Linked DNA regions of Astyanax mexicanus. The protein of the gene in region 4 interacts with the protein of the main gene of each other region in a biochemical or structural test. Links are inferred from orthologs where the notes say so. Each region holds a gene or a part of one and is shown on either strand. Other genes may lie near its edges.

Region 1 (8,102 bases), on a different chromosome or scaffold from region 4:
TGTGCTCATCCTGAGAGCCTGAGACCCATCCTTTTACTAATGTTTGTAGAAGCAGTTTGGATGCTTTTGAAAATACAGTCCATCCAATCCTAAAATTAGTCCATATTAGTGCATAAACAGTGTTGTTTGGATGCAGGCTGATATCAGTCACACCACTCAGTAACTCAGGAGCTGGTGCTACATGCTTTCAGCCTGGGTTAGGTCAAGTTGACCAAGTATACCTGACCCATTTCATTATTCGAAGTTATGCCACCCTGCCATGTCCCAGTTTCAATCAGAGCCTGTTCAAGCCATTCAACAGCACTATAAAGGAGTGTATTAAAATACAAGTACAACAGTTTAATATTAAATGTTGCAAATTTGTTCATATTTGTTAAAAAGTGGAAACAACAGAATACACAGCTAGTCTTATAGGCATTATTTCAATTTACGTGCACATGTACTATATGTATACATTACATTACTGACTTATCGTGCAATAAATGGACATTACCCACTGTGTCTATTGTCTATTGTGTTTGTATTTGTATGTTTGTTTGTTTGTCATGTAGTTACCAACACTTTAATAACTGGATGAATGAAAAAGTACATATTTCACCATAATTATGATTAATTAAAATTTGTGTTTTTTATAAAAAGGATATAATTCCTTTGTTATTCTGTTATATGCTATTATCATTGTGTCAGTGGCATTTATTATGCAATAATTTAATTTCGCAATAATTTATGTGATGATATATTGTCCACAAAATTACTTGGCAGGCCTATATTGTATAGGCTAAGGACATGTAATGAGTTATATGATCTAAAATTGTAAAACCTAGAGGTACAGAAGAGTGAATCGGTAAGGTAAATTGCTAATTTGTTTAGTATATAAGACAATGTTTCTTGAAAATAAGTGTTTTTGTTATTGCACAGTCCCTTCATTTTATTACATATAAAGATGAATATTTGGCTGTTAAGCCTATTTTGGCTATTTTCTTAGTGCTTTTTAATTTGTTGAATCATGGAAACAATATGCAGTTAGACAAAACTGCAATCATGCTAAAGAAGTGGTTGCTTCTCAAATGTTTTAACTGACAATTAAACATCAAAATCCTTAAAAAAAAATCAACTGAAATATGACAAATCATATGCTATATATATATATATATATATATATATATATATATATATATATATATATATATCATATATAAAAAAATAAAATAAAATAAATATAAAAAAAATTCACTCCCTATCCTACATCCAGGGTTTGTAATGCAACCACTCAGAACAATATATATATATATATAGGATAGGGAGTGAATTATCAAGAGAAACTGTTTTAGTTTTTGTCCTTATTTTATCTTTTTTTTATTTTCTTTCACACTCTACCAACTTGTAAGGACAATGCTGCTGGTACTAATAATAATCCAGTTGCACTAGTAGCTAGTGCTAGTTAGCAGTGCTTAAACAAATCTTTAAGGAGAAATCTTGTGTGAAATAAATTTGATTTGTAGTGATCCTTGATAATAAATAGAAACTTTTGTTAAATATTCCACCTCCATTCACCACCATCATTCTGAAATAAAGCACTTTTAGCCGATGCTCCCAACAGGCTTACAATGCTAGTGATAGGGGCACAGAGTTGCCTATGCAAGAATGCAAAATCAACATGCATGTGGAAATGCATGAATATCTCTATAATATTGAAAAAATAGCACAGAATTAATTTTGCAATCTGTCACCCTATCCTACCGATTCATGCTCATCAGTCGACTTATCACTTCTTGATTTCAAGATGCCAGCACCCAGAGAAGTACCTGAAGGTACTATGTGTATAATAAAAAGTCTTTTTAATAAACTAAATGTGCATTTTTAAAGCCTCATTTTTTGACTATTTTTAACTGTTAGGACGCTTGAAATTCTCCCAATGAAATGTAGAGCTACTTTGAGCTTTGTAATGTTGGTAATTATGATTTTAATTTGTTTGCATGGCCTACTATATGCCCCCTCACTGTACAGCAGTGTAAGCCAGTAAGCCTGTTAGTTGGGAGCATCAGCTAAAAGTGAGAAAGAGGGCTATTCAACAAAAGTTTGTACTTTTCATGTTTTCAAGTTTCACTACAAACCAAGTCCATTTCACACAAGATTTCTCCTTTAAACACTGCACTGATTAAATAAATGTAGGGCAGGTTTTTGGTCATTATAACATTTAGCAGTTTAATTTTCTGACCGTTTGAGGCTAAATTCAAAATTAGAAAATTGAATGTAAAAACATATTTTTTTATGTAGTTCAGTGCTCAAGAAATAAGTTTTATCCATTTTTCAAGTTTTAGTTTTTTCATCACTTTCCCTTACAATCGGAATTACAGGAAATTTTTCTGATTTTTAGATTTTTGCATTTTGCAAGTGGATTATAACATCGGATATGTGATACAAGACACAAAAATAGACAAATCTGAAAATCAAAAGTAGAAAACTTTTCATTTTTCTTGAAATTCTGTTCGCGAAAGGCAGATATGAAAAACTTAATAACTGAATGAATTACCATTTCATCTTCACTATAGTAAATGGAAAAAGTATAAAGTTTTATACCCTATTTTTTGAATTTGCGATTTAAGCTTGATACAGTCAGAAAAATAAACTGCTAAATGTTACACTGATGGATTTTGCTTATTAAACTATATTTAATCAATTTAAAATGAAAGAAAAAGTAGCTATGTAACTGTGTATGTAAGTTATTTGTTTGTGTGTTCGAGGGCTAAATATAATATAAAAATGAGTATTAAGGTGAAAAAAACTTACCAGACCATGCCATAAGCGCCCTCCCCAATATAGGAGAGGTTGGTGTATCGTGGCCCCACGTCGAAGGCCTGCCCGCGGACAAGCTCGGCCCCAGAGCCGGGGTTAGTGCCGCCTCCGCCGGCAGGACCAGACACCGCAGCCGCCGTCGCCATTGTTGAACCGAGCTGCCTTCACTCACACCCGCACTCACACATACACTCCCCGCAGCACAGCCACGACTCTCCAAACAGCAGAAACGACGAGTTTCGGTGTCTCACAACACCCAGCACGAGCCGTCCGCACTAGAAAAAGCTCTTCTGGTGCGATAAAAGTGAGTAAAAACAACAAAAAGTTGCAGCGAAAATCACTCCACTTCAGTGACGCTCCGCTACGCCCGCTGTGCGATTCGAGACTGCAGGCAGGCGGCGGCGGAGCCAGCGCGAGCAAACAGCGAGCGAGGCCCGGATCGTGCGCGAATCGGTTCATTCGAATCGTTTCTTGTGAACACATTGTGCGAACCGATACGCAACAAGGTGTGAAAATTCACATTCGTTACTCAGATAAAATTATAGATACTAGTGTTTAAAAAACTTCTGTAGAATTTTAAGTTGAAATCAGCTCAAGCTTTTTACTCAAAAGTAAATGTACTGGTTTCAAAACTACTTAATGTATAAAAGTAAAAGTAATAAAAAAAGTAAAGGGAAAAATAAGGCTATTAAGGATAAAATCTTAGGCCAAACCACAGGATCCTATAGTGCACCACCCCCTCCCAAAACACATTTTTTCTTAAAGCCATAATGACTATAATGTTATATTAATGTTATATTAATGTTGATACATTTGGGATAGAAAAATCTACGCAACAATCCAAGTTATAGTCTATTTTTTCCCAGTTAGTGTGTGAAATAGTGTGTAAAATTTCCATTGATTGTAAAAGTCCATTGATTCATTAAAGCAGCTGTCCCTTGTGAAATTTGGGACAAAATATTCAAATTAGTTGGTATCATTCTAAAAACAGAATCAAGTGGTCTGGTTGGTTTGTTTTTAGGCTGTAATTGCTTGCAGTCTGACAGTATTTTATAAATGAACAAAAATATTTAATTTAAAAAAAGGGTTACACAACATTTACAGTAACCTGAATTTAAAGGACTTTTCCACACATTCTCTCATCAGAGAGGTCTCTAAATCCCCAAATCTTACAGATGGTCCCTTTAAATGTATTATTATTATTATTATTATTATTATTATTATTATTATTATTATTATTATTATTATTGTTGTTGTTGTTGTTTCATTATCTGTTTTATTATATCTTAAAAGCAATGATTAATACATAATTTAATAATATAAATTATTGCTTTGTAATAGACACGCTTTAGATACATTTATCAGACTAGATAGATAGATAGATAGATAGATAGATAGATAGATAGATAGATAGATAGATAGATAGATAGATATATAGATAGACTAACCTTTAAACAATCGATTCTGAATCGATTCTGTCTCTGTGAGAGTCAAATCTCTAGTTCACTAGTAAGTGAAAGCAGTGAACAGAGAAAGTGAGCTAATGCTGTGTGAAAATCTCTTCTATCTCTACACGAAATTAAAAGCTCATATGATTTGTGACTGAATGACTTGTTGATTGGCACTTTCGATTCGATAAAATGAACCCTTTAATAGAACCGATTCGATTAACTGAATCGAACACTACGAGCTGCTTCCCGCATGAAATAACGGCGGAGACCACGTGACCACACAGGAGCGTCAGCCTACAAATGATCAGAAAACTTGTCAGAAAATTTTCATTTTCCAAATAAAAAACTAGAATTGAATATTCAGAATATAAGCTATAGCTATACAGGAACACATGCAGAATTATTCTATAAACAAAAAAAGGAAATCATGTTTCCCGAATTGTACATGAGAAAGTAGATAATTGCCACCTATGGGTTTACATTTCATACAAACTCTTAATTCCTAATTTCCTTTTTATGAAATTCCTACAGGAATAAATAAAGTATCGATCTATACTCTGTGTAACAATATATTTTTCAACATTTAGTCTGAATGTACATATTCTTACAATAAAGAGCAATGTTAACCTGCACTTTAAAAAAACTTTCTTGTAAATGTTATACAGTTATTTTTGTTTGTTTTTTTAAGTTAAACCTGAAAAAAAAATCATTTTTTATTTTTTAAATTTACTCATTTTAGAAAATTATGTGCTACTTTAACTTTAAAACGCAGGGTAGAAGTGCAAATGCGTGCAAGATGCAAAATTTTGTTATTTTTTACTACAATTTTAAAATTGTCTTGCAAACATATCTTAACAATAAAGTTACACAAATGTTGCACTATATTTTTAATCATATCCACCAAAACATGTTTGGTGGATATGTGTTTCACTTCATGCCTTTAGTAAAAAAAAAACATGTTTCTCCAGATTTACACGTTTATCTAAGGCATCGTGGCGGGACTCACTACACACTGAGGGTGAGTCGAATAAGAAAAGAATATGGATAACAGTGCACATTCCTGGTACATGTTTGACAGTGTGGATTGAGGAATGTTCAATGCTCTTATCTTTATACTATGGAAGTGAAATGCCCCATCCATCTGCACCTATTATCGGATCTGCCTTGAACTACAATAATTATCATTGCCTTGCCATGAGCATGTTAGCCCCTGTTTATTCAACCTCACTCACAAGATATCACCTCACAACTTATAAGGGTTTGGGCTTTTGTTTCCAAACCATGCCCTGAGATAACACTTCAATTTATACACTTGGATGTACATGTCACATATAATTAATACTGCTATCCCATGATTTTTGGCATGTATTTAACATTAATCTCCTCAATCTTTTACTACAATATTTGTATTAAGTCTGCATTCAAATTACACACACTTCAAGTCATGCAGCTTGCCATCAGCTGCCAGAGCCCTGAGAGAGCACAATTGGTCTTGCTCTCTTTGGGTGGGAACAGTAGATGGCACTCTTTCCCCTCATCACTACTAGGGTGATGTGGATCAGCACAAGGCGTCTGTGAGCTGATGTATCAGAACCACGTCACTGCGCTTTCCTCTAAACGCGCTGTGATGCTACTCGGTAATGCTGCATCATCAGCTGTTTAAAAAGAGGCGGAGTCTGACTTCACATGGATCGAAGGAGGCATCCCCCTCCTGGTGTTTTGGGGCATCACTAGTGATGGGGGAGTCCTTATGAGTGGGTAGGGTTATTGGCTATATATAAATTATATTAATAAAAAATACACATATTGTAAAAATACTTATGAATTTAACTGTACGGTCAAACCTGAAACAGAAAGCGAAGGTAGAAACATGAGGGTAAGTGGATTTGAATTAATCCCTTTAACCATCAGTCCGCCCAAAAGAGCTCTGATCCAGGTAGAGCAGCTGCTCTTACGTAACCAAGAGTCTGGATTAAACCTAGGAAAAAGATTTCATTTGTTACAATAAATAATCCTAATACCCAAAAACAGAACAAAGGAGTTAATGTGGTTATAGTTTATTATTATCACAATCACTGAACAGACTTCAACTCTCTCAACTCAACAGCAAAGCTGATAAAGCTGTTATGAACTTATATGAACAATATAATATAATACAATACTTTTCATTGACATTTAAGAAAATGAGTCCACATAAAATACTGCAATCAGTCCAGATCACTTTAGTTATTAACATTAAATTATGTGATACATTTGATGGCTATTCAATACTACAGTATTATGAGTTATGAGTGCATACAATACAAAAACACATCCAGTTGGACAGAGTCAATCCTGGCAGTGAAAAGTGAAAAGTTACCAACACTTATATAAGTACAGTACTACACACAAACACAGACACAGGGTTATAGAACATAGATAAAATTGTCAAGCTTAGTATGTATTAAATTATTATTACATATATATATATATATATATATATATATTAAATGCTGCATGTAATGTTTCAGGAAATACATCTGAACAAGCTGAACGGAAACTAAATAAGGCACCAATATAAAGGCCTCAGGTTGGGAGACATCATACATATTGTTGCTGTCCAATGAACAAAAAACAATCAGTCTTGTAAGGTACAGTCAAACTGTGCCTTACACTGTGCCAAAATGTCTTGATCACTGGACCAATAGAAATACTTAAAATGACCTGAAATAAACTCTTTTTACATTGACTTCCATTGAAAGTTTGGAAGGTTTTTTCTCTCTTCTGAAAATTTGCTGTTTTGGAGATACTGCTTGTTTTTTTTTATTGGACAGCGACGATATACTGTACCAGACAAAGGTTTGGACACACCTTCATATTTCAAAGTTTTTGTTTTAATTTTTTTTTACTATATTATAAATGAATACTGAAGTGATCCAAACTATGAAAGAACACATATAGAATCTTGTAGTAACTTAAAACTGTTAAACAAACCAAAATACTCTGTGTAGCATTTAGGTGCTCTTATCTGGGGAGCTGTTAACTTGCAGTATAACGTTTTTTTTTTGTTTCAGATTGACTGACCTTCTTTTCTAAAAGTATTTTTTTCTTTACTTAAGTAGTTGAGTAGTTCTTGCTTCTAATAATCTGGATTAGAATGTTACTCAAATAGAGTTATTCACTGTATACCTGTAACTCTACCTCTTCACTACTTTACAACTGATGCTCTCAAACACTTTATTAAGAGACAAGAAATTCAAGTAATTAACTCTTGATGAGTTCAGCACAGCTGTTAACTGAAAGCCTGAATTCCAGGTGACTCTACCTCATAAAATTGATTAAGAAAATCCAGTCAAGATGTGCAAAGCTGTCATCTAGGCAAGAGGTGCTACTTTGAAGAATCTAAAATATAAAACATATCCAGGTTTGGTAAACAATTTTTTGTGTGATTATTTTTTAAATAAATGATGAAAAAACACTAAATTTAAGTTGTGTCCAAACTCTTGACTGGTACTGTGTCTGTGTACAGTTTTCAATTCATTTTTGTGTGTTTCAATTAATATAAAAAAACATCCATATTTCAGCATAATTCACTTTTCATTTTGGCACAAATCTAACTTTAGGCCAGTTGTGAAAGTAAGGTATATTCTTACAAGCTCTTATACTCTAAAGGTCAGCCTCTCTGACCCTGATTAAGCTTAATCCTAGACTAATTGGGCTATTCCATGCTACAGCCGCAGTCCTTAAGATTTTCTTTTTAACCCTTTCAGACCCTGCATCCATTACAAACGACATCATTTATTTTCTTTATTTTAAAATGGTTTGTTGCACACAGCACTAATTGAGAGCTGTTGTCCATAGAACAGACTTGACCAT
Region 2 (7,595 bases), on a different chromosome or scaffold from region 4:
CATCCATATCTTATTAAAAGTCTTTACACACTGCACAACATTTATTCACTCACAGGCTACGGTACACATGGACCTCATTGAATGAACACAAAACACAGACATGTTACCCACTACACTGTTTACAGTGGACTACACTAGGGCTGTGCATTGGCAGGAATTTGGGGATATGATACATTCCACCATACAGGGTAAATTATTCAACCTATTCCTACATTGCGATACTGTAAGCAAGACATTAGATTGTGATTAACTGTCTCTCACTTTCTTCCTATCTGTCTCTCTTTATCTGTATGTCTCTCTACCTCTATTTTTCCATCTATCTTTCTCCCACTCTATATGTCTGCATTAGCTATGTCTACCAGTGTATTATCTCTGTGTCTATCTACCTGTCTGTCTCTCTCCCATACTGTCTGCCCCTTTCTATCTGTCTTTCCCACTATGTCTGTCTCTCTGTCTCTCTCTCACCCACTTACTCTACCCATGTCCGTCTGACCCTCTCCAACCATATATCTCTTCCTCTGTCTTCCAGTGTATTTATCCATCTGTCTCTCTCACATAAACTCTACCTGCCTGTCTCTCCATATGCCTCTATATTTCTGTCCCTAATTATCCATCCATCTCCCAGTGTATCTGCCTCACCCATTCTCTTCTGACTTCCAGTGTATTTATCCATTGGTCTCTCTACCTGTCTGTCTCTCCCACTCCCTCTGTTTGCCATTTTTTCTCTCTGCCTGTTTCTATCTATCCGTCTCTCTGTCTGTCCCCCATCTGTCTCTCTCTTCCTCTCTATCTGTCTAGATATCTATTTGCATGTCCCTCTTTATCTACCTCTATCTCTTTCTATTAATCCATTTGTCCCCCACTCTATCCATCTGTATCAAAATGTCTCTTTCCCATTCTCTCTCCCTACCTATCCATCGGTCTCTCTACCCGTATGTCTGTCTCTCCCAGCTATATTGTCTATTTGTCTCTCTATCTTTATCCATCTGTATCTATCCGTCTCTTTCTCCCACACTATTTTTCTAACCATCTATTCGCCTGTCCTTCTCTCTGCCTGTCTCTACCTACCCATCTGTCTGTCTCTTTCTCTGTCTGTTCCCCTATCTGACTCTCTATTTGTCATCTATCTGTCTCCCAATGTATTTAACTATCTGTCTCTCCTTCTCTATTCATGTCTACCTATTTATTTACCTATTGCCTATATTTATCTGCCCATATATCTGTCCATCTCTCTCTATTATTCTCTATTATTTGTCTATCTTTCGCTGTCTCACTATCTAACTGTCTTCCACTCTGTCAGTCTCTATCTCCCTGTCTCTCTCCATATATCAATCTGTGTCTCCATCAATCTGACTGTCTCACTGTCTGCCTATGTTTTCCACTGAATGTATCTATCTCTCTACCTCTGTCTCTCTCACCCTCCATTTGTATCTATCCTAGTGTCTCTGTATCTCTAGATGTCTTTCTCCCACTATATCTATATCCATTTGTGTCTCCCAATATCTGTCCGTCTGTTTCCCACTGTATTTATCTGTCTCGCACTCTGCCTGTTTCTCTCTATGTCCGTCTATCCATCTTTATATCTCCCACTCTGTTCATCTCTAGTTTCCCTATCTATCTATCTATCTATCTATCTATCTATCTCTCTCTTTCGCTGTCTTACTATCTAACTGTCTACCACTCTGTCAGTCTCTATCTGCCTGTCTCTCTCCATCTATCAGTCTGTCTCTCAATCAATCTGCCTGTCTCCCAGTCTGCCTATGTTTTCCACTGAAATGTATCTGTTTCTCTACCTCTGTCTCTCTCATCCTCCATTTGTATCTATCCTAATGTCTGTCTCCCACTATATCTGTATCCATGTGTGTCTCCCAATATCTGTCCGTCTGTATCTGTTTCCCCACTGTATTTATCTGTCTCGCTCTCTGTTTCTCTCTACTTATTTATTTGTCTATCCATCTTTATATCTCCCACTCTGTTCATATCTAGTTTCCCTATCTATCTGTCTGTCTGTCTATCTGTCTATCTATCTATCTATCGTAGTTGTTAGCCAGGTGTCGTTAGCACGCTGCTATGGTAGCTAGTTAGATTAGCACTGAGTTTGTGTATTCTTCAGCTAACTGCTTACTAAGCTACTAAACTTGAGCGTCTCTGAGACCTGCAGCAGGTCTCTCTGGAGTGTTTATTGGTTCAATAGGAAGCTGAGGGGTTTGTGTGTGTATAATTAAATAGAAAGAATACAGCAGTAGAGTAGAGTAGATTAGAGTAGGGTAGGTGTTACCTGCTCCGTCCGAGGCTGAAGGCAGAGCAGGTGCTGTCAGCTTGGCTCTCTTTGGGTTGGGCGGTCCGACATCCAGCATATTTTCAGCCATTTTCCTCCCAAACGATTAGAATAAGGGGTAAAGAATAAGCTCGGTCTGAGAGAGGGAGGGAAAGTTACTTTCTGTGTGTTTAGAGAAGAAGTCGGACGAGGAGGAGGGGGGGGGTTGCTATAGGCTAGCTGGGTTAGCTGGCTAGCAGCGAGGAAGGGCTTTTCAAAAAAGCAACAACAGCGCCGCGCGTCGCCACCGCCATTCACCCCATGATAATCCACCACCCAACACCCACATTATCGCCGATAAAGCGCCCCGGACAGAGCCCAGAAACCCCGTTTACTCATAGAAACCGAATTAAACACAAGACGAAGCGAATCCGCAGGATTTTCGCATGTGTGTGTTGGTGTGTGTGAGAGTGTATAAATGTGTGTGTGTCCGTCCCTCTCTCTCTCTCTCTCCCTCCCACCGGACGACGTTAAATGTGCATCACACCAAACAGACCAGCTTCTCTATAATTTAACGTCCAAAAAATCCCTGCAAAAACTAACAAAGAGGCAAACCGGCGGCCGGGTTCGCCTCAGACCCGCAGCCGCATAAAAATGCAGCGCGAGCGGATCCCCCGCGACGCCGTCCGAGCTCCGAGCTCCGAACCACCGACCGACCGACGGCTCCCCGTAAACAATACCGAGCTCCGGGCTGAGGGGAAATCCCACACAGCGCAGCAGCGCGACGCTTCTAGTCCGACGGCCGCCGCTCGATTCCCCGATTTCTTGCCGAAATCCGCGTCCGGGGCCTCGCAGGCTGCAGTAAGGCCGCCTGGCCGCGCTCCGCTCCAAAACACTAAATAGCGCCGTATCGAAATCCCCAGCCCGAGCCGCGACAAGATGGCGGCTGTTGATTCCTCAGATACAAAAAGTTTTTTTTTCTTTTTTTCCAGCGCGCGGCGGGGGGAGGGGCGATCACGCCCTACGTAACGACGGAGCGTGCGTCACAGCGGCGCAGTACAGCGCGCGCGGCGGCCGCTGGGGGCGATGCAGGACCGCGGATACGGAGAGACCGAGGCGCTCACTCTCACAACTTTACAGCTGCTGTTAGTGTTAAAATCTGTGCTCTTAACTTTTAAATTACATTTACCCTACTTTTATAAGCATTAAATATTAATTTAGTAATTTATACATTAATATATTAATAGTGCATATCTGTGTTATAAATTAAATTAGGAGAGGTGGTGAAAGAATAAACATACATTTCAAATAACAATAACTTTTTCAGATAAAAAAACAGACCATTTTTCTCTTAAATTTACAGATACGATTTGTTTACACCAGAAAATGTATGGCTCTGAACTTTTTAAATCTGAAAATCTACAGATTAGAATTTTTTAAATGTAAAATTGATGGATCTGAATTTTATGGATAAGAGCTTTTTAAATCTGAAAAATTGTAGATTTGTAGATATGAATCACTTTAGAATCCTTTTCACTTGAAAGGAGAGACCTGGAATTTGATAGATTGGAATTGATAAAATTACATTACATTACATATAGTGGATACTTTTATCCAAAGCAACTTACAAATAATTATGTACATTAGCAACAGAGGACATAGAAGAAAGAGACTAGTGGAATTTACTACGAGCAGCAACTGGGATCCAGTGGAGCTCATTGTGTAGTGGGCTGACGTGTGCCTGTTTTATCTGGTTGAAGACCCGACGTGCTGCTGCATTCTGAAGCATCTGAAGTGGTTTTACTACACAGTCCGGGAGGCCAGTTAGCATTGCAGTAGTCGAGGTGTACCAGAAAGAAGACCAGAAAAGCACTGTTGGGTGGCCTGTTGTAGTCAAACCTATCTGATGTTATAAAGCGCAAAGCTGCAGGATTGAGCAATTTTGATTTGAACCATGATAGCGCATTGTCTGAGAGTACAGAGAATAGATAGGAGAAAGTCATAATTGACTTTTTTTTTAACAGTGAAATTTATCACCTCACAGATTAAAAAAGCAAACAAAAAGTTAATTAAAAGTCAGGTGAATTGAATGCAGATTTTAAAAAACTTATCTTATAAGCTCCATAGAAAATGCAGTTAAACTGTTTAGAGTGCTTAGAGTACTTAACGTGACAGTCTGTAAGTTTTAAATGAGAATGTGTAATTGCACTGAGCATACTAAAAATACTTTTAAAATGAGTATTGTGGTGCAGTCTCTATTCAGAGTGGATCAATTCAGTGATTTTAGTGAGGACTGTGATGTGTTCTCTTTTAGCTGGCCAGATCTCTTTAGTTATAATTCTACGTTTATTTGATTTAATGATGGGTGAATGAGTCAAGTAGTTTTATTATCAATACTGTATATGTACAGGACATACAGACAATTGAAATTGCATTACTCTGCAAAACAGTGTTACAGAAAAAAAAAACTACAAATTATATAACAACTATAAACTATATAGGAATGAAATAGACACTAAAGTAGGTTAAGATAAAGACTGAATTTGTTGTTCTGATATCTTCATGTTTGCAGTAGCTCTTGTATCAGTGGTATTAGCAGCTTCCTGTCCTGAAAAGTGATGCCTTTCTGGTGGCAGACATACTTGGTGACCATGGTATTGGAGATGGTCTTCAGGACCTGGTCATGCCGCCAAAGGTAGAATATCGCTGCTCAAACTTCCTCCACAGCTAGTTTGTACCTTGTATACCAGAAGTGGCCAGATTATGCAAGGCAAAATGCAATGCTGATAAATCCAATCCAAGATATGTCAACTGTGGAGAGTCACATGTTAAGATCTTTAAATGTGGCTTGGACGGCTGATGTGTCCCTAAGACTACAGTTGTAGATCATTTCAAGGCTCCTATTTGGTTTTTCTGTGATCGGAGGAATTACAGCACCAACCAAGTGTGACAGGAACTTGTCCACTACCTTCTCTCTCCTCAGCACCCTGGACCAGGTCTTGGTTGGTTTAAAACTCATTTTCCTCAGGATATGTTATTTTTCAGGCCCAGCGGGAACCACAGCCTCCTGATTGTGTGGTGAAAGTGAACTTGTTCAGGAAGGCCCTGATTGGGGGCTGCCAGATTTGGATGCTGTCTCTGTAAAACTGTATTTTAATTAAAAGTTTTTTAGATTATACTATTACTATACTTATTAAGAGAATTAGAACTGAATAAATGTTACATAAGTGTAAACATTCCAGGAGCTGGAAAACAGTGAGGTAGCTATGTAATACAAACTGGCTATTATAATATTATAGCTACTTTATTTTGGAAATAAAATATTTACAATGATAGCATTTAAAATAAGAACTTAATTAATTTTTGGTGTAACATGTCATTACTGTCTGAATGTGTCAAAAGTATTTATTCATTACTCAGGAGTATAGATTCTAGGGTTTAAAAATACTGTTGATTTGAAGTCAAAACTCAACGTTTTAACGCAAATAAAAATGTAAAAGTACTGGTTTCAAAATTGCTTAAAGTACAATGTAAATAAATTAAAGAAGCTTAGTTGGGACATGTTTAAGTCAGCTTCATTAAGGAATAAGTTTCTGAAACTAAAATTTAGTTATTTGGAGGACGGTTATTTATGCATGGAGAAAAAAGTACAGTAAAACGTGGTGGTGGTTCATCGTGCTGTGGGGCTGTGTGATCAGTGCAGCTACTGAGAATCTTGTTAAAGTTTAGAGTCTCATGGATTTCAGTCAATATCAGCAGATTCCTGAGAACTGTGTTTAATCAGTGAGAAAGTTGAAGTTGCGCTGGGGCTGGATACTTTAACAAGACAACGACCCTAAACTCTGCTCCAAATCTACTAAAGCTTCATGCAGAGGAACAAGTACAACCGTCTGGAATGATCATCTCAGTTATGGAGGATAAATAAATAAATAAAAGCGAATGTAAATTACTCAATAAAAGTAGTATGATGATTAAAACGGTAAAGAATGATTATAATTAATATAAAAATAAAAACATATACATAAAAATAAATATCCTAATAAATTGTTATTTATAGGTTTCTTTATTAACATTGTTTATTTTTTCTTTAAATTCATTTGTTAATTTATTCACATAAATATTTATTTCTGCAATAATTTATTTCCCAGTTTATTTATTTTTGTATTTTTTTATTTTCTGATTCATCCATTTCTTTTTTCCTTGTTCTTATATGATAATGAAGGGGCTGTCCAGTAATGATGTCACGGTGTCTTAGCATTCCTATTGGTTGATTGATGTCAGATACCCTAGATTTCAGCTCCCGGACTCTTCTACTCATATCAGCTCCTCTCTCTCTGGGCTTGATTGCTAAGCCTGCATGTGAAAAAAACGCCCCTTCATTATCATATAAGGACAAGGAAAAACACACATAAATAAATCAGGAAATAAATTATTGCAAAAATGTGGGATTGATGGCGGTGAGGCGGATTGTGCGTGCCGTGAGTGGAGGCTGCCCTCCGCTGTGGACAAATGTATCTTTACACCGCTGGAATATACGGAAGGCTAAAGCTGAGTTTTTTATTAAAATAATTGAAGATGCACGGGGGAAATAAAAGATGATCTGGAAAAATCTTAATAAATGAACTGGAAGGAGTAATGATCAGAAAACAAAGGAACATGAACTTTAAATAAATGGAATCTTAATTCAGGATTATGATATGATTGCAAATATTTTAACAACGTTTTTATAAACTCAATTGATCAGCTAATCCAGAACTTCTGTCCTAAGATTATACTATCTACACCTATTAATGATGCTAGACCAATCTTTAGAATAACACAAACATCAGAATCTGCAGTATTAAACATTATAAACTCCATCAGAAATTCTAAAGCAAAGGATCCTTATGGCTTGGACACTACATTTTTAAAATGACACAAGGACATCTTAGCTAGTCCCATCACTAAATTAATTAACCAATCAATTAAGCAAGACATTTTTCAGAAGTTGGCTGTCATAACACCATCTGCAAGGCAGGTGATCGAGCAATTGTGGAGAATTATTGACCTGTTAGTATTTTACCTGTGGTTTCCAAGGTGGCTGAGAAGTGGGTGGTGGAGCAGTTGATATCTCATTTGAATCCTCTGCATTTAATGCAGTTTGTTTTCTGTTCTAACCATTTAACAGAAACAGCTATCTGCTATTTTCTTAAAAAGGTTAAATCAAAACTAGATGAAGGCGGTGTAATTAGAGCATTATTCTTGGATCTAAAACGGGCATTTGATACTTTAAATCGTGATGTACATGATGTCTAAATTATCTTATTTTAATTTTTCTATTGATTCTATTAAATGGATG
Region 3 (7,963 bases), on a different chromosome or scaffold from region 4:
AAGTGTCACACAGGTGGTTTTACTGTCCGATAACCAGCGAGGAATATCGTGTTTATTCCCGTGAAGAACTGCTGGCCCTTCGACCCGCGGGACGTGGGGGCATTGTCCACTCAATACCGGGGGAACTAAGGAGGAATTACCGAGGCTGTAGGGCCGGAGCTAAGCTAAAGGCTAAGCTAAAGGCTAAGAGTACGGAGAAGCGCTGGAGGTACAAACCCTCAGTTCCGTCGGTGGTTATGGGGAATGTCAACTCACTGACCAACAAAACCGACGAGCTAGCGTGTCTGGTGAAGAATCAGAAGCTCTACAGGGAGTGTAGCGTGCTGTGTTTCACCGAGACCTGGCTCACCCCCAACACGCCGGATGCTAACGTGGAGCTACATGTAAACGTGAAGGAGGTGATCTGCTGTCGGGATATTGAACTGTTAGCGGTGAGTCTCCGACCTTATTACATGCCGCGGGAGCTCTCTCATGCGATCCTCGTCTGTGTTTACATTCAGCCGAGAGCGGACGTACAGGCGGCGTGTGACGTCATCCACTCCACCGTCGCAGCGCTGCAGACACAGCACCCTGACGCCTTCTATAAGGCGTATTTTGAACATGGTCTGACATTGCAAGCCTTGTGCAGTCAGCAAAAACTGTTCTACAATTCAACGGAAAATTTTGCAGAGCCATGATTGCACTGACCTAAAGGCAGGGTAAACACTATGGATATAAAATGGCGGGGGTTACATTATGTGAAATAGGGGGTACATCATAGACACATGATTACAACGTTTCAGTTATGTGGACCTTGCGTGCAGAGTGTGTATGAGTATGTATGGGGCTATGTCACGGTACGTAGACACTGCGTTGTAACCCACGTAAGCGTCTTATGAATATGGAATACAATACGTTGCATGACATCATGTGTTGTCAGGCTGCCTTATTACAATGCAAATGTATGCATAGGCGCGTTTACCGATTGGATGTTAGATGCCAAAACGTGTATACACGAACAGTTTTACCGCCTGTACACGTGATTTTTTTACGTGTGGACACGTCATATTTTTACGCGTGGAGGCGTTTCTTTCCCACACGTTTTGGCTTAGTTGGCTTGCCATATCTATGTGATTACTGGTGATTTTAATCACGTAACGCTGGACTCTACACTGCCTGCCTTTTTCCAGTTTGTGGACTGTCCCACCAGGAAGAACAGAACCATAGACTTGCTGTATGCTAATGTGAGGGATGCATACAGGGCTATTCCACTACCACCGCTGGGGAGATCAGATCACAACCTGGTCTTCCTACAGCCTCAGTACAAACCACTGGTACTGAGGCAGCCCACTACCACACGCTCATTCAGAGTCTGGTCTCCTGAAGCAGAGGAAGCCCTAAGGGACTGCTATGACACCACTGACTGGAGCGTGCTGCTGCACCCACATGGCGAGGACATTGAGGGGCTGACTCACTGTGTTACAGACTACTTGAATTACTGTATGGATGTTGCTGTTCCCACAAAGACTGTACGCTGCTTTCCAAACAACAAACCTTGGATTACCAGCACCGTCAAGGACCTCCTCAACCAAAAGAAGAGGGCGTTCAAAGATGGAAACCTGGTAGAGCTGAAGCGCGTACAGGGGGAACTCAAGGTACGTCTTAAAGAGGCCAAGGAGTCTTACAGGAAAAAGGTGGAAAGAAAGCTGCAAGATAACAACACAAAGGAAGTCTGGGGTGCGATGAAAACCATCACTGGGTGCAAGAACAACAGCGGCAACCCAGCAGATGGGGGTGTGGACAGAGCAAACCAGTTTAACAACTTTTACAACAGGTTTGACTGTCCTGCTCCTGCTGCCCCCTCCTTCTACCCCCCTGCATCTTTACCATCATCTCCATCTCCACCGCCACCACCATCATCATCTCCATCTCCACCATCTTCATCATCATCATCACCACCATTACCCTCTCCTCCATCTTCACCACCACCACCACCAACCTCATCACCTCCATCATCATCTTCATCACCCTCACCTCCACCATCTTCATCACCACCATCACCCTCACCCCAACCATCTTCTTCATCATCATCATCACCACCAGCACCCTCACCCCCACCATCTTCTTCATCATCATCGTCACCACCATCAACACTATCAGCTAGCAGACAAATCAGCTCCTCCAGTCCACCAACCTTTACTGCAGACCAAGTCAGGAGACAGCTGAGGAGACTTCACCCCAGGAAGGCAGCTGGCCCGGACAGAGTGTGCCCCAGAATGCTCAAGGCTTGTGCTGTTCAACTGGGTGAGCCCCTCCAACATGTGTTTAACCTGAGTCTGCGTCTAGGGAGAGTTCCTGCCACGTGGAAGACAACCTGCCTCGTTCCAGTTCCTAAGAAGGCACACCCGAAGGAGCTGAATGACTACAGGCCAGTTGCTTTGAACCATCTACAGCTGAACATCTCCAAAACCAAGGAGATGTGCATAGACTTCAGAAGGTCCAGGCCCTCTGCTCAGCAGCCAATCTCCATCGAGGGGGTCAATGTGGAAGTGGTCAAGTCCTACAGATACCTTGGTGTGCACCTGGACGATAGGCTGGACTGGTCAGTGAACACTGACTCCCTCTACAGGAAGGCCCAGAGCAGACTGTACTTCCTCAGAAGGCTTGGGTCCTTTAACATCTGCCAGAAACTCCTGCTGATGTTCTACCAGTCTGTGGTAGCCAGCGTCCTCTTTTACGCTGTAGTGTGCTGGGGAGGCAGCATCAGCAAGAGGGACGCTGGACGACTGAACAGGCTGGTGAGGAAAGCTGGTTCTGTGTTGGGACTAGAGCTGGAGTCCTTAACACCACTGGCAGAGAGGAGAGCCCTCAGCAAGCTGCTGAACATCATGGACAATGTTCACCACCCTCTGCACAGCACCATCACCAGGCAGAGGAGCTCATTCAGCGGCAGACTGCTGTCCCAGTCCTGCTCCACAGACAGACTTCGAAAGTCTTTTGTCCCTCAGGCCATAAGACTTTTCAACTCATCTCAGCACAGCAAACTGAAGACTCTGTGACACCTTTTCTTTCCAGCAATTCTGTCCACACCATGGACATACCCCCATCTATGGTCACACTATCTTGCTGATGCCCATAACACTATTTTTATAGTTCTACCCTATTTTGCACTAGTAGTTCATTCACTAGTTCATTCATCTACTGTTTACGTATCATTTGCACTGCTAAATTTAAATTATTATATAACTGTGTTTGCACTTTCTGTATGGCGGACATCAGTTATCCTTATCCTTACTTTATGCACATCAACTGGTGTTCGCTGTCTATTGTGTTCAACTGCACTACCTCCATTTTACATCACACACACACACTAAAGACTGTATTTTTTTTATCTTTTTGTAACTTTGTGTACTATACACACCTGCTGCTGGATGTCTATCTATCTATCTATCTATCTATCTATCTATCTATCTATCTATCTATCTATCTATCTATCTATCTTTCTTTCTTTCTTTCTTTCTTTCTTTCTTTCTTTCTTGCTTGGATATGTTTTTCCAGTCCAGCTGCTCTCTCTTCCTCTCCCGTTCTCTCACTCTTCTCCCAAAAAAGCTCCTAGCCCCGCCCACTACTTAGACTTTTGACTGACAAGCAGATAAACTAATCACCTTGCAGCAACTAAAAAGATATCTCAACAGAAATTACTGAATTAAAATGTGAGCACAAATAAACTATTGTAAAAATGAATGAACTTGATGATTTAAATGAAGTTTTAATATAATTTCCTTGAAATCTCTTTTTAAATAACTGAAAAATTAAACAAGGCTACATAATAGACCAGTGCAGCCATGTTGTCAGTTTGTAGTTAGGTCCCCTTTCTACACTGCTTTTTTCTTTGGGCAAAATAAATGTGGTTTTCAAAAGCTCGCCTCTATCACATTCTGTGGTAAATAAATATGTTCAGAACCCTGTACGTTTCATTCTGTGTACATCACTGGATCCTCTGAATTATGAAATCGATTAAGTAATAAGAAAAATGCTAACTTTAAGCTCATGCTACAGCGCACTGAATTGATGGCACAGGCAGAGATATGACACCAGCAAACTCCGGATAGGTCATGTTTTTTATTATTATCCTCACAGGGAATCATTGATTAGTTTGATTTGATTAGTGCTCATACCAATATGATAGCACATAGAACATTCATCTGTTTCTCTAATCAAGCATCCTAATACCACAGCAGCTACACTGGAAAAGCATGGCACAGTGTTTAAAGAATGTTTCTGGAGTAACACTGTGCTGCTTGTTTTAGTGATTTTCTGCTGTAATCCTACCAGCTCACCTCAGAGAGGGTAGTTAGTTCATTAATTGGATCAGCTGTAATATGCTGTAAAAATAGGACTGGAGTTTGCTGGCGTTGCACTAAACTGAGAAAGCACTCTGCTGCTGTGCTGTGACGTCGGTTCAGTGCGCTGTAGCATTAGCTTTAAGCTAGCATTTTTCTAATAATGACTTATAAACGATCTCGTAATTGAGAGGATCCAGTGTTTTTCTGGAGAATTATGTACTCAGAATAAAACATACAAGGTTCTAAACATATTTATTTACCAAGGAATGTGATAGAGGCAAGTTTTTGAAAACCGTACGAGGACTACAGAATGACACATAACTGCAGTGGCCTATATTTTATGTTAAATGCTGAAGGGGAAACGCCCCCTACAGATATAATGCCCATGGTGTAATTACACAGAGCATGTTTAAAGAAAAAATATTGTATTTTATTATGTAATGTAATATTATATTATGTCCAGGTCATTATTTCTTCGTGTGTTTGTTGGAGTCTAGAAAACACAAGCCTACAGAGCGGTATAGACAAAGATACATTATCGGTACTGTGCTGCCCCCTGCAGTTCAGTGTATGTGGGACACTGTGGGGGTACTGTGGCTGCGCTGCCGCAGTGTTTAGGCCGGCCTGCGGGGGCAACACTGAGACCGTGCAGAGTCAGGCGGAGGGAACAAAGGAGCGCGGGTGAGTGTTTAAAGCGCCCAATATTTCTAAAATTAATCTTTAAAACTGGCAATTAAAGTTCGGATCGCCCTTCATATTGTGTGTTATGAGCCTTAGATCACGAGCCCGGCTGTTCGGGTCGGTAATGTTGGGTTATCTGTCGCCGGTTTCTGACTGTTAGGGTTTGGCTGCGATAGCGGAGCTTCATCGCATTCAACCGATTATTAACCTCACCGCGCTGCTGTTTTACTCCAGCTTTTTAGCTTTTACCAGAATGTATCCAGACAGTTTACGCAGTTTAGGAAAATAAGTGTAGAGACCGCTTTGTAAGTGTGATTTATGATCATGAGGGGTAATGTAGGTTAACGAGTTATATTTGTTGTAATTCTGACTATGAAAGGGTTGCCGTAGCTGCTAAAGGCTGGGCTCACAGATGGATATCCTCAGTCCGGGCTAAAGATAAAATTAGTATTTTAATTTTAGAGATTAATTAACTCCAATCACCCGACGTGTTTTCTATTATATAGAGTTACTTTATTATTAGTGAAAATCAGCCCACATTAGCTCTCACTGCCGAAGCTAAATTTAGCTAGCCTAAGGTAGATTAGTTTATTTGAATTGTTCGTTCCACCTTAAATGGTTACAGCAGGTTAGGGCAGCTCTCAAGCCCCGCTGTAACTGCTGCACAATTTAAGGTGGCACAAACAATTCAGACAAGCCAACTTCAGCTGCAGGCTAACACGCGCTAACGTGGACTATAACATTTCTTTTAACACTTTAATGTTTACTCACGTAGCCTTAATTACTTATCTCCGGTTTTTAATCTAATTTTAGCTACTGTATTACAATCCTAAACATGCTTAACCTCGCTAGCTAGCTTGCGTGTTTTTTTAGCAACGTTTATTTCTTTTATTCCGGTTTAGCTTAGCACAGGGTGCTAATCTGCTAATGCTAGGTAACTTGCTAACTGGCCCGAATGCTCGCACTTCTAGCTACAGATCGCATCGAGTTATTGTTTTGGGAGAGTTATTATTGCATCTCTGTTGTTACAAAATACACTTTAAACGTTACAATAGTTAAATATAACGTTTATGCCATTAGATTCGTTTGGTCAGTTAAAATAGTATGGTAGCTATATTCTAATAATGTTTATGTTGTTTAGTAGTCCAGGAGCTTGTATTGTTATAGTAAATCGTATAATCTCTATTCACATGAAATTGTTCAGGCAGATATAGTCATTTAGGGATGTTTTAATGTGCCATATGGGACTGAAAGCGTGCCTCTATGTCTAATCCATCTTTACCCTATTGTAGAACCGTGATGGAGTTAGCCTGATATCCTCAATCCTGCAAACAAGATGTCAAGTAAGAGCTCTAATTTTATCTGAAGGTCATCTGTAACCCTTGTCTGAGACCACCTGTATAATGCTTTGCTGTTATGAATGTTGTCTTAAGGCCCTGTATGTGAACCTCTGAACCGTGCAGCCTTTCTATGCCATTTGCAGGAACGGCTTGTTTAAAGGGGAACTTAGCCAGCCATTTAGAATTGTGTAATTCATTGTGTTTGATGAATTCATTTGTAGTGGGGTCTTGGTGTAAAATTGTGGCTTATTCTAAGCAAATTTACTCACTGATTCACCATAACTACAATACAAATGTAGCCATTTTATTTTCTATCCAAGCCCACCAATGAATGTGTATGTTTTTCTCAGAACAGTGTTCCATGCAAGTTTCTTTAGATTGGAGCATTTTACACCAAGCCGACTCCGAACGTCTTTGTTCACGTCATACCTGTTTAACTACACAGATAATTTAGGAAATTGATGGGATAACCCTGTGAGTGATGTGTAGAAGTGATGTGAGTAAGATTCAACTGAAGCGGATGCGAGGTATAAGTAGGTTTTAGTACTGCTTCGATAAATGGCAAACGTCTCATTGTAATGGAATAATGTCTGCCCTCTGTGTGATTTTTCTCTTACAGAGCGGCCCTCGTACGCCCCTCCCCCCGCCCCGGCCCCCACCACAGTAAGTGTTCCACCACACCATCCATAAATGACCACATCACCCACACCAAACCTTAAGACCCCTGGAAGTGTGGAAAGGACTGCGGGATGATGATGATGATGATGATGATGATGATTCTTCCATGGGGTGGCTCAGTAGTACATGTTCCAGATGTTACAGAATATCCAGCTTATGCTGAGTTTTTTTATTTTTTATTTTTTATTTTAAAACCATCTCATTGAATTTAAAGCCCCCCCTTCCCCCATAGTGTGTGTGGCTTGGCTTTGAGTGGGTGTAAAACAATGCCAGGTTGTGCTGCTGTCAGATTGCTGCTTTTTGCATGTCTTATGCAAATCATGACCAAAAAAAGCAAAAACAAATCTTCCTTTTTTCTTTTTTTTGTCCCTTCCTCCCTTGTTTGTGTCATTTCTCATTCGTGTTTTGTCTCATTTGTCTCCATCAGCAAATGCCCACCACCCCTGGGTTTGTGGGGTACAACCCATACAGCCATCTGGCCTACAACAACTACAGGCTGGGAGGGAACCCCGGCGGGAACAACAGGGTAATGGTAGGACAAAAGGAAAAAGCAAAACTGCGTAGCTGCAGCAGAGGAGCTAGAACCCCAGAGCAGAACTGCCCGAGCTGACAACCTGGGCTGTAACCCAAAAGTCGTGCTATTTTACTCTAGTCTGTTTTACTACTTTTAGTTTGGAACATGGGCTTCTTATATTAGGGGGCGGAGCAAGGAGAGACTTGATATCATGGGTAGCTGATGTAGATCTTAGATGCTTCTGTACTGTCCTCTTCCTCACTCCTTTTGTAAACCACTTGGCCCACTCTGTCCACTCTGATTTTAAGTTACAGGTTTCCAGTGTTAGGACATCACCCTCCTCATTAGTTTGCATGAGTGCTATGCCCTTCAGCTTGCTTGGCTTCTAAACATAAATGGCTATTTAGAGATTTGTTTATTTTTCT
Region 4 (8,158 bases):
TTATGCCTAGTGACTTTTTCTCTTTCTTCCCCTTTTTGTCTCTCTCTTACTACTCCAGAAGAGATGATGGCCCTTTATGTAAATGGGTTTGACACTCCAGCTTCAAAACCATAGTTTAAAAAATGCATTCTGTTAACAATTTTGGGTAATTTAATTGTAATTTTACTGAATGTTAATTCAATTCTTGATATTCTACAGATTTTTCATGCAGTTCATGTACAGCTCAGCTCATCATTCTGGACACATTTTTTATTTTCTTGATAGGTTCTTATTCATTTTGTGATACATGTCCATTTTGCATATATACATATTATTTCATACATGTGTAACCAGCCAAATTGTTTTTTTTTTGTTTTTTTTTACTTTTAAAGGATAATGTAATTCAACTAAACTACACTCTGAGCACATCTGTATTGTGTACGTGACATCGAGTAGGGTCACACAAGATGGGCGCTGTTCACCTCTGACCTCTTGTTCTAGTGTAAGTAAATGTTTGTTTTAAGCTTAATTCTGTTGTTCATCAAACTACTGCGTAACATCTGAGACAGATTGGACCACCATCACTGAAAAACACTCACATAATCAGCTCACTGGGTTTTATGGCTCATTGTTTGATGTACACTAGATCCTGTTTATTTTCTTTCTGATAAGAAAATACTGTAATAACATATGTTTACACTTTAACTCTGTATGAGATGTTGCATGTCCAAATCCAATTGTCCCTTTCCATCCAATTTTTCTGGAAATCAAGAGTATTATAGTTGGCTGTGACAGTCCTGTGAGAATTTGAGGATCAAGCACTGATGTTGAATGACTAATATTTAATATTAATGTGTGTCTGCTCTGATGGGCCCAATCCCACAAGTATTGCTTTTCTGTTAATCTTATATACAAGCTGTATATCATCGCTGTTCAATGAAAAACAAGTATCTCCAAAACTGCAACATTTTATGTATTTCTGTTGGTCTGTTCATCAATAAATTTTGGCACAGTGTAAGGGACAATTTGTCTGTTCAAATTATGCAGTAAACTAAAAATCGACAAAAATGGAGCTACTAGTTTTTTATTGGACAGCGACGATATGCACACCAGTATCAGCATTGTGTGCACCTTAAAGTAGATCATTCACATAATTAGAATAAGTGTCTGGATTCTAGTAAAAAAAAATTACAAGGAAATATATATGCTAAATTTCTCAGAATTCACCATTAACCCTACTTATCAAGGAACATCTCCGTCGTTTTATTTTTTCCTTCAAAGAGGACGTGATAATCTCTGTGCACTCCTGTTATTTGCACAAATAGTTCTTTTCTCAAGGTTTAAAAACAAAATTAGCTCTGAGCTCGTACAGACCATACACTACTGGGATACTTATAAGAAGTGTTTCTTTCCATTGAAAAGCTGTTCTGTAAAGTTAATGAAGATAAAAGCTGTTCTACTGGGAACTTTAAAAATACTTTTAGCACCAAAAAACTAAAAAGTCTCTCTTAAGAACACGTTTTAAGGTGCTACACAGAACTGAAACCTTTTTGTTTAAAAGGGGTATTTAGAATATACATAAATAAAGTGCTAGTAAAAAAGGGATAATGGCATCAATAGGAATGCCTCCCACAATTAATGCACTATGAATAATTCTTGTAAATATGCTGTAGGTTTAATAGGTAACATCTGTTTTTCTGAGTGCAGACTAAACATGGCTCATTCAGACTCTCAGATAGTCAGTGCTTCAGTGAGCCGTAATTGAAGCGTAAGGAAGCTTTATCTTTCATCTCAGGTCTTTAACACACATACACACACACACACACATAGCCACACACATTAACACAATTTACAGGAAAAGAGTAACAAGTCACTTGTTCTGTTCTTTGTAGTACTGACAAAGAATGTGAAGATGCACACAGTGGGTTTTATTTCCTGCTTATTATAAATACAAATCACTTGTTCTGTTTTAAAATACATTTAACTACTAATAGTTACAGCAACTACTAATCCTACTTAAATGTGAATTTATTGAGAATGTATAACTATAATTTGCAGGTTCTTTCTTTACTTTCATTTTCTGTGTTTTATTGATGACACAAACATGGGCAAAATATAGAGAATGTTTTTTTTTATTGTTGATGTTTCCTCAGAACAGAACTGCACATCTAACATTTCACTTATTTCAAATCATAAAGAAATATTAACCAACTTTGTATCGCTCTATGTGTGGATATTGAAACAAATTTTGAACTTAGTTTGTTATCAGTAGGAATAGTATTAGCATCCTTAATGTAATTCTTATTCTAATAGCCTTTTAAGGGCCCTTATAGTAGCTGTACATCAATGCTGTCCAGCACAGTTGCTGCTTTTCCTGCTCAATCTCATCTACTGAATGTGGTAACTAACCACAAGAGATAAATAAGGTGTGCTTGAGGACAAAGAATCAAACATTGTAAATTCACCAAACATACACAAGACAGCAGAGCTGGAAAAGCCATGTTGTGCTTTATATAGATTCATTGTCATTTAACAAAATGACTAAAAACAATGAGCACTCATTTTTATACTGTGTGACCTGCAGAGATGAAACAGAATGATACATTTAAAGATAGTTTAAAGTCATTCTGACCTGTAGACAGAGCTGGCCGAAGGCTCCAGGTAGTAGGGCACCTGTTGCTGACCCCCAGCGTGAGTCAGATAGGTGGGTGGCTGGGGGCTGGAGGACACAAACACCAGTGGACTGGCCGACCCACTGGCCAGAGACTGAAGAGTTTCTTCGGCCAGGGGCAGCTGGGGGTCCGGAGGCGGTGGGTAAAAGCCCACAGGGGATGATCCGACGCCGGAGGCTGGGTTGTGGTACTCATAAGCTCCATCCAGGAAGTGGACAGTGGAGGAGATGCCCCCCTCCTCTGGGTACATGGGGGAAACTTTGGGGGTCAGCTCCAGCTCCAGCTCACTGCCTCGTCTCGAGTTGCTCCTGCGCCGCTGCCTGCTGCCACCAGCAGCCTCAGCATGCGCCTGCTCACTAGACATCACCACACAAACACACACACACACACACACACACACACACTCACAGGCAGCATGACTTACAGCACCAGCTGCTCTCACACTCTGACTAAGAGAAAGGGATTTTTCTCTTTCTCTTTCCCCTACCCTTCCTCTTCCACTAGCCCCTCCCTCTTTTACTCTTAGTCACTACTTATTCAAGCACAGTCTCTCATACCTAGTTTAATATGCAAGTAATAAGCATATTACTGAAATAATACTGAAATAGGTTTGTAAGAAATTATAAATGTAATTTTGTCAATATCAACATAATGTGCCATTTGTATTCACAACATATATGTTTAAATATCATGCAAACACTATGTAACAATAATTTGTTTTACTTATTTACTCATTACAGATTATTACAAAAGCATAATAATATTTACCTTCAATTTAAAGTACTTTTAATATATTATATGCAGTTTTCTTTATCTGCAGTGCATTTACATGGTTAAATCATGAATAAAACACATTTATTTTAGTATTTAGCATACTATTTTCCGCTCAATGTGTCTTATATTGTCTCTAAATGTATTTGTGGTAAAGCTTAATATGTTCACCCTGTCTGTATAAAATATCATGCTCATTTTTTATATATATATATATAATTTTAGAAAATCAAAATGTATCTTTTAAACAGTTCAAAATGTCTGCAACTCTATGTCATCCAGGTTTTTATAAAATTTTCACTATGTTTTCACTAAAATATTCCACTCTCTCATGCAGCTTGCCAAAACAGGGTGGACAAATGCACGCATGTGAAATTATGAAGCAATAAAGCAAGGAATAAACACTGCCTGGACACACAAAAAAAATCACACACTCTAATATTTTGTTGGAGCGCTGTTAGCTTAGATTGCAGCATGCATTCACTGTGGTATTGTTTCAATAATCTTCTGCAATGTCACAAGATTTATTTCAATCCAGTGTTGCATTAATTTTTCACCAAGATCTTGCAGCATTAATGATGGTAGAGGCTGATTATTATAATATTCAGCAATATTCATTACTTATACAGCATCTACTACAGATTTAGCAAACAATACTATTCAGTAACTACTATGAATGATTAAATAAACGCTGAGTAAAACATTGGTTGATTGTTTTACGTTTTTTAATTACATTTAAGAGCTTGGGATATAAGGGATATAAGGACATAAGGGATAAAAGAACAAACTATGTTTACAGTGTAATACTCGTTTGAAGATATTGTATTAAACTTATGAAGTGATTATAAGTAATTTACTGAATATTCTGCTTATGTTAAGAGTGTGCAGCAGTGTGATTATCTTGTCACAGACGCACATCTTTCCCCTTAGAAACGTTCTTTCAGTCTGCATCTCTCTCTTTCTAAAAAAGGAGGCAAATTAAAAGACACGACTCGGTCGATAGCAGAGCAGGTCATCGCAACCAGGTAAACAAGAGACAGGAGGTCAGCACTTCATTCAGCTGCCAAACAGCCGTACAGGTGACGGATGCAGCGAAAGAAAGAAAAACATGGTAATGTGCTTTTCTGCCATCGGAAATTTAATTACATTCTGAAACAAACAATATAAAAAGCTTTAAAAGGTCAAAATCTAGAGTTTTTACTCATCAGGCAATAATGAGAAAGAGAAAAGCAGCTAAAAGAGTCTTATTGCTCTGGTATGATATTTATGAGGCAATATCTCAATTTAATATAAGCGGTTACTAATAGAGACAGAAGAATGAAGTGGAAAGTGAGTAGGAGTTCTGAGATAGGCAGCAGGGGTACAGGGCGTACTAGGAAAGGCTTGACTGGAAAGGATGAGTAACTGTGCACTTTAGTAGATATAGGAAAAACAGCCACACAGTATCGTGTAAAATCAGTTATGAAAACGGTTTTAGCGGTACACTGTGTAAATGAAAGGTCAGGTCAATGTAAAACACACAGCTCCTTCCAGGTCGATTGACATGGGGATACTAGTAGACTTGGGGACCCTCAAGTCCTGTTATTTTACAAGAGCTGTGAAGTAAGTTAGCACTTTTAAACTAGTAACAAAAAAGGATGTAGGCACAACACACACAGTATATAATGATCACTAAGACTAAAGACTGGTGTCAGATCATCCGTGGATCATTTAGTGTTGTTCTGATTGCTTATATATGGTTTATATTTTAAACTATGACACTTTTTACACTGGCCTTTTTCCAGAACTGGATGTGCTTTCCCTGCAGGACAAATGTGAAAGCTGCTTTTGAGGCTAATAAAGCACAATGTGAGGACTGGTGGTACTTTATTACTGTAATAATCTCAGCTTTGTGGAGTCAGTGAGGATACTGACAGCATAAAACTCTTGTTGATGGACAAAAATCATGAATAAAGGCAGCTTGTTTGGAGTATCACCTTTACAGTAAAAATCCACGCATCCCAAAAACACTGTAGTTGTTTCCAATATCCAACGTTTTTAATAGCAAAGGTATGTATGGAATTGTGCAATCAAGGTCCACGGTCAGTAAAAACAAACCAGTGGCAATGAGCTCCTCTCCCAAACCGGCCCAAAATTGGTACCAGATGTGGTACTAATTTTATTTTATTTTTTTTGTTAGAAAAAGTGTAAAAACGCTCTTAAAGTATTGCAATATACTGTGCCATACAGAATTGTAACCCCTGTATTGTGAAGCATATCATAATAAGCAATTACTTTAAAGTACATAAAAAAATAGCAAAATAGCTTAATAAAGTTTCTCATTAATACAGAATTAAACTAATGTCTGCAGTAATATTTGTGTACATGAAGTACTTGCTAATTATAATGAACTGGAACCCATTATCAATTTACTTTGACCAGATTTCAAACAGATGACCCTGATTTACTGATAAAAACATTCTAGATAAACATTCAATCATTCACTCAGTGAGGACAAACGAGAACCTTGAATTCAATGTTCATAAAATGAACTGTACTATAGATCTGTTTACAGCAAAGGCACGTTTTTAGAATATGGTTCACTCAACTAAACATTAAGGTTTATTTAGGAAAGAAATACAATGTTTTTCTATACTTTGTAGAACCTGGTTTTGCATAATTTTAAAATGATTATAATAGTATGATTTTTTTCATGATTTACATCAGTCAAACTGCTCATCAGTGGCATTTCCTTTCTAATAAACTAATGTGGTCAGGTGCTGACTGTTCTGACTAAGTGTTAAGTTACTATAATTATTCACACTAGTATTCACTACACAATAACCCAGGTCACAGTGAGGTGAGGAAATCCCCTTTGTCTTGCGCCTCAATATGAACCACAATATGTTCCAAATATCAGTCGTTAAAAAAATGAACAGAAAAACATTTACCAACCATTTACCAGCCTACACACTTTATGTGTTTAGAACGTGGTTCAGCTATTTTATATGTTTGTATTTATTTCTCTTACAAACTAGTCTTTTAGTATGAGATATTTAGTTACTATTCAATTTATTCTCTCCTCTGAATGTAACTCAGTAGAATTAGTAATGAGCTGAAGCACTAACAATATACAATATTAAAATTATACAGAATACTGCTCTGAAATGCTCAGCACTCATAGAAATGCCAAAGCCTGTTCACAAGTGTTTAGTGACAACTTGACATTTACTCACACTTTCAAATATTTGTACAAGACCACATATTTACTTTGAGTTCCAATCTTGGCACAAATATTGCATTTGCTGGCTAATTTTTTTCCCTTTCACTAAAGATCCTATTATGTATTAGGATCAAGTCTCAAGTGTTCATAACAGCAAAGCCTGAGCAGAACATATTTTTTTTATTTAAGTGTTTGACTAATGAACTGTCAGCAAAAGCAAAACACTTTAACAAACAAAGAACTCTGACAAAAGCACAAGATTCCTTTTAGGCACATTTTCCAAAGCCCTCTGAAAAAAAAAAAAAAAACAATGTACGGAAAAAAAAACCCAATGGAGAATTTCAGTTTATTTATTAAGTTTCAGTTTCAGCCAATTTTGCATTACAATATTACAATGGTAACTACGTGATCACTGTGACAACTTAAGTAAACATTTCTCTGTTTCAAAATGCCTGATAATTCAGAAAAACCCTGCAGCCAACAATCCTTAAGGCTTTAATCCATATCCATATGAATGATTATCCACACTGTAGCAGCACTCAACACAAAATAAAAGTTTATTTAAATCTTTGAAAGCCCTAACTAGTGTACACACTACTGTTCAAAAGCCTATGGATTTGAGTCACATAATCACTTTTCATATAGCCTACAATCGCATAACCAGGCTCATGTGACTCAAATCCACAGATTTTTTTTTTTTGTCAGGGTTTTGTGGATGTCATCTCTTGTTTTTCAAACTCTTTGCAAGCACGTGTCATGCAGCAGTACGGGCACAACAGATCATGCTTGTGATTTCTGTCATTTCTGTTAATGAGTAACTATAACGTTTTCCAGAATAACACCACACCAGGGTGGCAAAACAACAGAGGCGAGGTGCCTAAGCTTATATGTGCATTTGTGTTGTTTCAGAAACAGATTTACTCTGCAGACAGATCTGTAGTCTGTGGAACTAATATTCACAAATGTGAAGCATCAAGGCCTTTAAGATTGCCAAATCCAACCTAAGCAAAATTCTGAATATATTAAGGTTATGTGACTGCAGCCTGCAGAGTATTTATTGCTGTCCAATGAAAAACAAGCATCTCCATTTTTGTCTAATTTTAGTTTACTACATAATTTGAACACACAAATGGTCTCTTACACTGTGTCAAAACGTATTGATGAATGGACCAATAGAAATTCTCCAATAACCTGAAATAAACTGTTTTAACATTGACTTCCATTGAATCTCTTGCTGTTTTGGAGCCAGCAGAATATGTTTTTGCACTGACAGTGCTGCACTCCATTACTGTTTTTACTAAATTTACCTGTATTAATCTGAACCAAAACTATTCATACACTGGTAAAGTGCTTGGGTTGATTCCCCTACAAAACAGAGTACTGTGAATGTAGGTGGGTTCTAAGAAGTTCTACCATTTCTGTGTAAAATGCGTTTGACGATAGTCAATAATGAACCATTTTAGCACCCTTGTAATGTAGATGACCAAATCCAGCACAAGTGCTTAACTACGGCCACAAGTCACATCACTTTGGT

What was found.
Region 1: of the proteins of esr1 (region 4) and mapk1, one has a biochemical effect on the other in vitro, tested with the Homo sapiens proteins (3 studies listed by BioGRID, with this or other methods). The link is inferred for Astyanax mexicanus from reciprocal best matches to the Homo sapiens genes ESR1 and MAPK1.
Region 2: the proteins of esr1 (region 4) and crebbpa form a complex in vitro, tested with the Homo sapiens proteins (2 studies listed by BioGRID). The link is inferred for Astyanax mexicanus from reciprocal best matches to the Homo sapiens genes ESR1 and CREBBP.
Region 3: the proteins of esr1 (region 4) and smarce1 form a complex in vitro, tested with the Homo sapiens proteins (3 studies listed by BioGRID). The link is inferred for Astyanax mexicanus from reciprocal best matches to the Homo sapiens genes ESR1 and SMARCE1.

Annotation. Positions count from the first base shown.
Region 1 is NC_064429.1:30,991,038-30,999,139, reverse strand, and holds the start of mapk1 (mitogen-activated protein kinase 1), read right to left. Parts: upstream 3,193-8,102; 5' UTR 2,943-3,192; coding exon 2,791-2,942; intron 1-2,790. UniProt on the Homo sapiens protein: Serine/threonine kinase which acts as an essential component of the MAP kinase signal transduction pathway. MAPK1/ERK2 and MAPK3/ERK1 are the 2 MAPKs which play an important role in the MAPK/ERK cascade.
Region 2 is NW_026040046.1:1,676,356-1,683,950, reverse strand, and holds the start of crebbpa (CREB-binding protein), read right to left. Parts: upstream 3,228-7,595; 5' UTR 2,370-3,227; coding exon 2,279-2,369; intron 1-2,278. UniProt on the Homo sapiens protein: Acetylates histones, giving a specific tag for transcriptional activation. Mediates acetylation of histone H3 at 'Lys-18' and 'Lys-27' (H3K18ac and H3K27ac, respectively).
Region 3 is NC_064426.1:13,043,689-13,051,651, forward strand, and holds the start of smarce1 (SWI/SNF-related matrix-associated actin-dependent regulator of chromatin subfamily E member 1), read left to right. Parts: upstream 1-4,894; 5' UTR 4,895-5,006; intron 5,007-6,298; 5' UTR 6,299-6,342; coding exon 6,343-6,349; intron 6,350-6,965; coding exon 6,966-7,009; intron 7,010-7,451; coding exon 7,452-7,556; intron 7,557-7,963. UniProt on the Homo sapiens protein: Involved in transcriptional activation and repression of select genes by chromatin remodeling (alteration of DNA-nucleosome topology).
Region 4 is NC_064408.1:79,147,475-79,155,632, reverse strand, and holds the start of esr1 (estrogen receptor), read right to left. Parts: upstream 3,075-8,158; 5' UTR 3,016-3,074; coding exon 2,612-3,015; intron 1-2,611.